Drosophila melanogaster: one gene and its partner. The protein of the gene in region 2 purifies or fractionates together with the protein of the main gene of each other region. This does not show direct contact. Each region holds a gene or a part of one and is shown on either strand. Other genes may lie near its edges.

Region 1 (5,872 bases), on a different chromosome or scaffold from region 2:
ATTTGTTGGAAGTTTTACCTAACTATCCGGCCTAATCAACTATAAACATTTTTTCTATTTACGCTGGGCAAAAAGTGTGGAAAGTTTAGTAAGTTTATATCTTGTTTAATTTTAAATCAATGGATATTGAAAATTTTAATTTCATTTTAGATTCCCAAAATGCCCCTCTGTTTTGGGTAAATACATTTTAACATATAAGACAAATGGCTTTTATAGCTAAAATAAAATAAAACCAATTATTTCAAAGAATATTGAGCTGCACCGCATTGAAACATCCTTCTATATACACAACACACTCATCCACTCATCAAGCAAAAAACATTCCACACTCAAGACTTAGTTCAATACCAAAATGGGGCTACATACTTTGCAAATTGTTTCAGTCGGATGAGATTTTTAAAAAGGTAAGCATAAACAATTTGGAATAGGGCTTGTCATTCTAAAAAAAAATTAAGTCACCGCAATAGACTTCTGCCCAATTACGCTTCCCTCCCAATTCATAGAATAACTTTAGTTTTCTTTGGAAAATATGTATATTTTCATTTGTTGAGATTGGAATCGTGCGATGATCCATTATTCTATTTGTTTTCATTTTCTTTTTTTCACATTTAGCAATAAATACAATTGTGTGTGTTTTAGCTTAAGAGAATTACACTGACAACTATGGTACAATAGAAAAGAGTTAAGAAAACTTAAATATCACAGATGTTGGACGCCGAATGCGTCTCTTTATAGTATGTACAAACACTAGGGATATTCAGAATATTAATCTGAAGAAGATCGCTTAGATAAGAAGTGTGCTGTGTGCTCCTGGAAAGAAGTGGCATCTATCCGATTTGGGTATTACGTATTGAATTTGAAGTTGATATATGCACAAAACGGTGACAAGATCTAGCTCCTAACTAAGCTTAAGTCTACACCAGCTACATGAGAGCGAGAAGGCATTTCGAATTTGACTCAGATGTTAATTTGTTTTGAAATTTGGTGGGAATTCATCTCTGTTTAGCTGGCGATACTGTGGGGCTGAGATTGGTTCTGATGCTGCTCGCATTGCTCTTCTCATCGCTGCACTTGAAGCAGGGTTCCGCCGAAGGTGAAACTGCTGGCCTGCTGCTGTAGCCTCAGCAGATCTTGGGCGCTGTAGACTTGCAAGCTGGCGGAACTGATGGGCGAGGAACTAGCGCTGGAGCCCGCCGGTGCTATCGCTCGCAAATGGAGCGAGGCATCGCAGAGGGAAGCCGCTACCGAAGCTGATGTGTTGTTGTTGGCCAGGGAGACATGTCGATTCACTCCGTTCGCCTTGTCCTTGTTGTGCCGTTTGACGTGCTTCGACAGGTGATCGCTTCTCATGAATTTCTTCTGGCAGACGCTGCACTGGAATTTCTTTTCACCGGTGTGGGTCCGTTTGTGTCGGGACAACTCATCGGAACGGGAGAATCGTTTGTCACAGTTCTCCCACTTGCAGATAAAGGGTCGCTCGCCGGTGTGAACCCTCTGGTGGGCCTTCAGATGACTGCTTTTGAAGTAATTCTTGCCGCAATCGGGAAAACTGCACTCGTAGATGCGACTTCTGGTGGCCGCCGCCTGGGCGGCCGTAATTCTGGTTGTTAGTTTCTCCTCGGACATTGTTGGCGTTTTGGGTACGGGTGTGGGGCTCTGTTGGGCGGCCACTGTGCTGAGCAGGATAAGTTGGCTGGCAGACGAAGCTACTGGGCTAACATATATCGGTGTCAGAATAGGTTTTATTTCCTCCTCCTTGATGCATTCCGCTGGAGCAGGTGGCGTTACAAGCTTCGCAACTGGTGTCTCGGGTGTTTGTACTGGGGGTAGTGCCACTTCTGCAGCACGCTTTCTGTTCATTTTGAACTTGAGATTGCGCCACACATTGGCCTCTGGATAGTCGTCCTCCACAGTGGGTGGTACTGAACTTGTACTTGTGTTTGTGTTGGAAGAGGAACTACAGCAGGAGGTGGAACTAGATGAGTTCTCGTCTTGGCTACTAGAAGAGACAGCGCCAGAACTGTTGACCCGCATGATGACGCTAACCCTTTCCGCTTTCTGATCATCGTCCAGCTTTTGATCCGGCGGCGGTGTCATGCTCATAGCAGGTTGTTCCAAACGGGGTTTCTTGTTGGGAACCGCTATTTCGGGAGCCTCGTCTTCCGTGTCCGATGGATTTGGTGTAATAATCCCTCCATTTTTCTGACTCTTTTGGGCCACCAGCTTGAGCTTTGCCTTTAGCAGATTCTCGTTCACCTGTTGTTCGTCCTTGGCGACCTGGAAAAGGAAAGAACAAGTTCAGGGTTAGTCAGAGTTCGTTAACATTGTCGAGTTTATGTTCTGAGGAGTGCATTCACATTCACAGTCCCATTCACTTTTCGCTGACCAGCATTGACCCACAATAACTTTTCCTCGCAATTCGCTAATTACGCCGGCGGCTGACAAGGCCGTTCACCGTTAACCTTCACACACCCTGCAATACCCCGCCCAACCCCAGGTTCAATGCTCCTTCGAAAGGCCAAGGGAACTTTGTTTTTGGCGGTTTTTGAACTCTTTTAAAGGCCGTTTGGGGTGACAGAATATTACTCATTAACTGTTGCTGCCAGCTGTGCTTTAAATTATAGACGTATGTAAATGTTAAAGGTGAATACTGTATTGATGACCACATAAAAGTCTTTAAATTGATGTGCTCCTGACAGAAACAAAAAATGTCTTAAAATTTTAAAAACTGTTCTTAATATGGACTTTTCAAATTTCACTACTTAATTTTTAAGGATGAAAACATGAGCAACTGTTGCGTTTTCGGCGCATATTCTAGAACCATTTAAAAATTGCGCCTAAAAGCATGCAAGGAAAATGCAGCCACACCACCAGTATTATTATGACGTGCCTCAGGTGGGTGATTTCATGGGGAAGGCGAATGCGAGGGGTGTATTATGACTCGTGCGAAGACGTCGAAATCTTTTTATGGGCTCGGCACGTTGCGCTCTAATGTGCGACAGTGTTTGTTTGTTTCTTTCTTGGCCAGATAAAAAACGAGCCAGAAATGTGACATGGTTTTATGGGTTGGGGCTTGGCCTGTTTGCCTAGCTTTTGGCTAGGCCCTCTCTTTCCTCTCACACTCCACCGCTCGCCTACAGTTGCCAATTGGCAACTCACCTTCTCTCTTTTGCTTTTCTGTTGTTTTTTCCTAGTGGTGCCAAGTCCAATGTTCAGCTGCGGCCTCTCGCTCGCACTCACACATCACTCGCTGTGCATGCGGTGTTCACGTGAAAGCGTGTTGGCTGCGTGATCGCATGGCTGTGTGCGAGTGCGAGCGGGACGAGGCACTTTGTTTTTAGAAACGCGGCAAGTGGGAGCGAGAGCGAGCTAAGTACGATTCCGTTTGATTTTCCGCTGCCTTGAATGCACTATCCCCACTCAATAAGCACTAATTACACTAGCGTACACTGTATATATCCACTTTGTAGGTCACTTACGATTTCCAACTTGTTTTCCCTTAGTGGGGGCGTTGCGGGTGGTGAAGGTAGCAAGGTATCCATGTCCATTGCACTTTCAAATTTCAGTTGCACTCTCTTTTTTTTATTGAAGAGTCTGTGTTTGTTTGTTTGTTTTGTTCCGGGGCTAATCACTTGGTTTAATCTCAGTTTGTGTAGATTTTTGCACTTCAGCTAACTTTGCACTGGCGCTTTCAAGTGCCGCTTGCCGTTTTGGAGCGAAGGCGAACCGTTGCGTTCGGAATTCAAGAGACGAATGAAAAAGGCAAAGCCATTCAGCTCCCAGCAGAGCTGCCGCCGCCGACGCCGCTGCCGGCAGAGGCTGTGCAAGTGTGAGTGAGTGGAGCCGCCGACGACGTAATCACTTGGAAACGGGCAAGTGTGTGTGAGCGGGCCATCGTCATCGGCAGTGGAGCAACCAGTGCAATGTAACCCGGACGAACATCAGCCAGCAACGTGGGCAGCACCTCCTCGGCTCCTCTCTCTCGGGCGCAAAAAAGAAAAAGGTCAGGTCTCCTGCTCACTCACCTCTCAGCAACCCACGTGCACCGGACAAAATAGCCCGTAAAGAATGACATCTCTGTTAACTCAATTTTAGACTGTAATGTTGGTTGGCAATAAGTTAAAAGAGATTCAGGTGAACCCAAATCGTTTTTAGTAAACTCTCTAAAAGTGTATGGCTATTTTAAATGTTGCCATCTTTTCCGAGAAGACCCAAAAAATCACCGAAGCGATTTCTTTCTGTGCAGGACACAGACACACAGCCAGTAGGAGAGAGGCCCGCAGAGCACGTAATCAACGCATGGACGTCATCAGCTGTTCACTGCGGGGTCTTGTGTTTGGTGCTATAGAGAACGGGTCAGTAGAGGAGGAGCTGGGGAGGGTGTGGGGCTCCATCGGCTGTCTATTCATGGGCTGTGCATGCCCCAGCCGCGTGCACAGCGCACACCAACCGACACACTCACAGACACACCCCAAAGCCGTGTCTGAGTAGCTGACGTAGTTGTTGCCACGGAAGTCTGTGAATAATCGGCTGAAAAAATACTTTAAAACTGGCTCGAAACCTGGCAGACGCCCCTCAAGCTGAAATCTAAGACCTGGCCGCATATATTTGCATTAACTTTGGAAGTCTGACTTTAAGCAGACACGGATTTCATTAATAAACGAAAGGCATAGTGCGAAAGCAGGAGAGTATGGGAGCTCAACAGTTGACGGGGAGCATTGCCAGGCCCAAGAAACTGGGAGATAACAAAGATGAGTCACGAAAAGCAGGCATTTCAAAATCCTCTTATTCACCACCAGTGAATGCATGTAACTCAATTAAGTCGTCAATTGATTACATTTATTTTGTTTGAAAACCCTCCTAGGACACGGGTAAATTCTACCTGGCAATGCTCGCGTTTCGCCTGTAACAGTTTTCAAAGCAAAAAGGGGCTCGTACACAGAGCACACACACCAAAGAGCGAGCGGCAGAAACAGCTGTGGTTATTGGCGCTCTCTTGCGCAACAACAACGAATAACTAGCACGCCATACCCCACACCAGACTTGTGGGGCGACTGTTCAGGCCGTGTAGGGTATTCAGGGGTAGCATGGGAGCAGCTAGATTAGATGCAGATCTCTGAAAAGTTTAAGTTTTATTTTTCTTCACATTCCCTAAAAAGAAATTTTATATTTGTCGTTACTAAATTAATGTCATTCCATCCGTCTCCTACTGCTTTATCGCCGCTTTTAGAGGGTATGCCCAAGTGGACCCCTCGAAAATAACCTTCTTGACGGCTGAACAGCTCGCCTGCGTGTTTTATGGTGTGCGTGAGTGTCTGTGTGGGTCCGTCTGGTATCACGCGTTGACCTCATGATGTTCACGTGAACATTTGTTGATACTTTGCCTGAGCGGACGAGTGAGTGAGTGCGAGTGAGACGAGGCGAAAATGCCAGCAGTCTGTGGCGTGCCTATCTGTGCGCTTGTGTGCGTGTGGGGGTTTGCAGTACTTGCGTTTTTGTTTTTGTCTTTGCTTCGTGTTTGTGATTGGAATCGGAATTCGTGTGTAAATTTTGCGCGGAACTTGAAGCGATGGCCTCCACTCTCTCGCGAATGTGGGCGTGTAAATGGGCCGATATACCGTTACCGCACCCCTCTCCATTGCGCCCCACCCCCCGCATTTTGAATGCAAACTGCGGCGCAGTTGAAGCTCCCCACCGGCCAGCTCCTCCAGTCCTCGCAAATCCATCAAGCGGGAATTCATGTGCATTGCGGAGGCTGAACACAATCAGCAGCCGCAGGTTAGATCTAAAAATAGACGTATATCTCGGCTCCCCGGCGGGTTCAAGTTCAGTTCCCTTGACTTGCATTCGCCCACGGAGCTCCCACGCCCAC
Region 2 (4,233 bases):
GCGCACCGATACGATGCGATTTCTCAATAATACCTTTGTCCAGGTGGATCTTGAAGGGGCGCTTGTCGAAGATCGTACCGTTCTCCTTTTGCAGAACGGCCGTTTGCTTATCCTCGAGCAGGTTACTGGGAATTGTTTTGGCCGAGTCCACCGGTTTTGCGCTGGAACTGTAGCATGCCTGCATGGGAGTAATGCCTTGAAATCAGGGGGTGATCTATCTTGGCTATGGGGGATGCCTACCTTGAGCAACCAGGATGCCCCCAGGTTCCGTCTTAGTATCATTGACATTCTAACGCTAATTTATTTTTGTTCTCTTTATTTAAGCTGATGATTGCAGTGTCGAAAGTATCGATATGTTGTCATCGGTGGTGATGGTGTTGCAAGGTCGTACCACTACTTTTACCAAGCTCAAATGGGCTCATTGAGAGTATGGATAGATACTGCTTTAATTTACATCTAAAAGTTCACAAATATATGTCTCTTCTGGTAGCGAGAAAGAAAAAATGTTGCAGATTTTCAAACTGGGCAGTGCTGCCAGACCGCCCCAGCTGAATGCACAGTGGTGCAAAACGTTCGGGCTGAATGTTAATGTTATCGGCAGTCACTCCTATCGATGCTCTATCTGCCGTTATCGCTGCCCAAGGTCGCCAATTTAAAATTTGATTTCAGAATTCCGGAATCTGTTCAGCTGATAAGCAGAGATATGATTCCGATGCGCCTGGAAATGTCTCTCCTCGTTTGGAGGTATTTTAGCGTCTATCGCAGACATTCATCTTAATGAAAGCTCGTTATGTGCCCCATACTTGACTAGGGAATTCTGAGTTCCGACCGACGGGTGCACACGCCGAATTCTCGCAGATAACACGATTTATCAAGCGGCCCCGTTAGACAAACTGATTAGCCCGACAGCCCAGAGATCTTCTACGTAATATACTTTATTTTACAATACAAATACTACATATGCGGGGTGTCTTACGAACCTCTTCCAGTAAAATATTAAGGGGAATTAATGCACGGGTTTACTCGAAACCTTTTTAACTTTGAGTTAACAACTAAAACAAAACACCCCTCTTGGAATGCCACAGTCGTTTTGTTTGCATTCCTAGCCAATCCAATAACGGCGAAACCGATATTTCTGGGACACCCCTGAGCCCGTCTAGAACTCGTCGTTGAACGGGTAGTACTTATGGCCCGACATTCCCGAAAAGGGTACCGTGCGCTGCCCGGTGTGATACTGCTCCATGCCGGCGACGTCGTCTGGACTCAGCTCGAAGTCGAAGACGCGGAAGTTCTCCTCGATGCGGGCCTTGTTCGACGACTTGGGCAGTGGCACCACGCCTAGCTGGACCAGATAACGCAGGCAGATCTGTGCCGTGGTGCGGCCGTACTTCTTGGCCAGATTCTGGGCATGCTCGTCGTAGAGGAAGGGCGGCCACTGCCGAGCGGGCTGGGGACGTGCCAGGGGGCAGTAGGCGCAGATGACCAGTCCGTGGCGCTTGGCATGCTCCCGGAGCTGGCGCTGCTGAAAGCCTGGGTGGCACTCCACCTGGTTCACTACCGGCCGGATGCGGCAGTTGGCTAGCACTCGCTCCGTCTGCGCGGCGTTGAAGTTGGACAGGCCGATGCTGCGCGTCAGGCCCAGATCCACCAGCTTCTCCATCTCGCGCCAGGTGTCCAGATAGTCCACGTCCGTCAGCTCCAGGGTTCCGTGCACGTTGCTGTCATTGTGGAACTTCTGGCCCACCGGCATGTGCATCAGGTAGAGGTCTACGTATTCCAAACCCAGGTTGCTAAGGCTCAGGCGGCAGGCGCGCTCCACCAATGCAGGGTCGTGGTGGATTCCGCCTAGCTTGGTGGTCACGAAAACCTCCTCGCGTGTGACCACTCCCTCGGCGATCTTCTCGGAGATCGCCTGGCCCACCTCAGCCTCGTTCTCGTAGACGAAGGCGGTGTCCAGGTGCCGGTAGCCCACGTCGAGGGCGTGGCGCGTTGAGTGGTAGGCGTCCGACTCGAACGACTTCCAGGTGCCAAGGCCCAGAGTTGGCATCTCGCGCCCGTTGTTCAGCCGGATGGTGGGAGCCAGATTGGTCATCTTGTCGCTGGCGCTGATAATTAACGCTGTGCAAATTGGACGCTTCTAAGTCTAAACCAGTGCTACTACGCCTTTCTCGCGATCAAATCTCTATCTGTTCCAGCTCGTCGAAAGCTTCGCGGACAACTGTTGGCTCGCACAGCCGGTTTCGATGATTTTGTCACGGCGGCCGAGCAGCTGCTGTGTCATCCGGTGACGTCACGGACAACGCGCGGTTATTCCCACCAGCGTTGCCAAGCTGGCCTTTTCCCACTACATCTAGCGTTTTTCAAAAGCTCAGCGGGGGAGGAATTGCGATCTAAAATCTGGCGCGATGTATAAAAATATTTCAAGGTACGCACACAAGTAAGCTTAATTTTAACGTTTAAAAACATAAGAACGACATTAATTGAATTGTATAGCATACCAGCTATGCGAGGTTTTCTCCAATTGCTGAATCGATCGCGAGTGTATGGCAGTGTTGTGTCCAGCAGCGACTAGCGGGAATTATTCAAAGCAGATTTTTAAGACAAATTTGAATTAAAATCAAATGCCGTAAAGAGCAGATAAGGTGAGAGTAAATCAAACGTCTAATATCATGGACCAACTCCATCCGAAAAAAGCCCAAGTAGGGGGCGGTTTACATAGATGGAATTTAGAAAAGATCAAGACAGAAGAGTTGGCGGGAAAACGAGCAGGTAATTGTTTGGCTAACACAAGTCCAGGAGTGGTCATCTCTAAATGCTTAGACCTGATGGGATAGGAACTTAAATTAGTTTGAATAAAATTTTGTTTTAAAGCCCTTACGTGTATAAATTAAACCAAAAACTCAAAGCATTTTTAAAATATCACAGATTGAACTCCGATTCCATATTGCCCAAAACTATAAAGAACAGTTAAGCTTTCAAAAATAATATAGCGCCCTCTGAATACAAATAAAAAAAACCAGTAGCAGCTTGCTAACACATAAATCTTTATTCGAATATTAGTTGAGTTCAAAATGTTAGACATTCAAAGATATATTTTGTTACGCTTAGGTTCAACATTTAGGGTATTGAAATATCTGCTCTGCATTGCACAAATCTCACTTCGGGGTATGGGTTTTCTGGTTATTAGAATATGTAATTGGTAGTACGGCTAAAAGATCGCTGCTTCTGCTGTACATACCATAATCGATGGATTAATTACTTCTAAGTGGTTGTTGGTGTTGTCTTCTTACTGTGAGCTCTGTGAGCCGTCTCGTCATCCCCATTACGAACTATTTAATCTACTTTGCTATTTGGTAGGTAAGTAAACTTCGAGATTGTTTTGCGTTAGACATGTAAACACTGATTTGAACATTTATTGGTTAGAACAAGTTACGGCTCAAACATTTACTGACTGATTACGACTGATTGGCTTTAGCTATATCCTGTTAACGGAGGTATATACGTATAGCATGAATATATCTTTTTTGTGCATCAGTGAGTTACCCAATGATGTTGAATTTATGCAAGTGCCTAGGCTATATTGGAGAAAATAAAAGTTCGTAGAGTTATGTTTTGAGATTGTCAAATCGAATCACAAGTGAAATTGGAAATTTTCCCTTTTGGAGTACTTGCATATTTGATATATGTACTATATAGTATGCAAAGTGTATTATTGAAAGTGCACAACAATAACAATAGTGGTGGTGTATTGTTGGTATTACGTCTACATATGTAGCAGTACTAAAAATGTAGAAACATTTTTGGTTTTGACACGTAAGGAGTTTCCGTTGTGGGAAACGATTTCTTAACACTAAAATAGTTTCTACGGTCCATATGCTAGATTAATGCATCTGCTAGATAAATATTCCTAGGTATGTGTACTTTTCTTGTGCCATTAGCACCAAAGAGTTGGCTTATTTCGAATATTTCCTCAGAGGATTGTAAGATTGCGTTGGGTTTAAAACGCCTACACAATTCTATGTGAGTGATTCTGATAGATTCTACCCGTTTCCGTAGCACGTGGTGTAGATAAAGTAATTAATGGCTTTCCAACTCTACTTACAAACTGTACCATACTAAAATTGGTGTTGCGTTGCTTGTAAATCAATTCGAAATTGTTACATCTCATTAACTATGAACTAAAGAATATTGTTTCGTTTGAATCGGTTCGTTATATCTATAAAAGTATTATTG

Evidence for each region.
Region 1: the proteins of CG9436 (region 2) and cbt purify together in Drosophila melanogaster (affinity purification with mass spectrometry, with the first as the bait; one large-scale study listed by BioGRID). This does not show direct contact.

What each region holds. Positions count from the first base shown.
Region 1 is NT_033779.5:475,928-481,799, forward strand, and holds cbt (cabut), read right to left. Parts: upstream 3,762-5,872; 5' UTR 3,549-3,761; coding exon 3,480-3,548; exon of another isoform or gene 2,278-3,479; coding exon 1,060-2,277; 3' UTR 519-1,059; downstream 1-518.
Region 2 is NT_033778.4:6,756,680-6,760,912, forward strand, and holds CG9436 (uncharacterized protein), read right to left. Parts: upstream 2,225-4,233; 5' UTR 2,093-2,224; coding exon 1,157-2,092; 3' UTR 922-1,156; downstream 1-921. Other genes in the region: CG3420 (uncharacterized protein), read right to left, coding at 34-178, 241-288.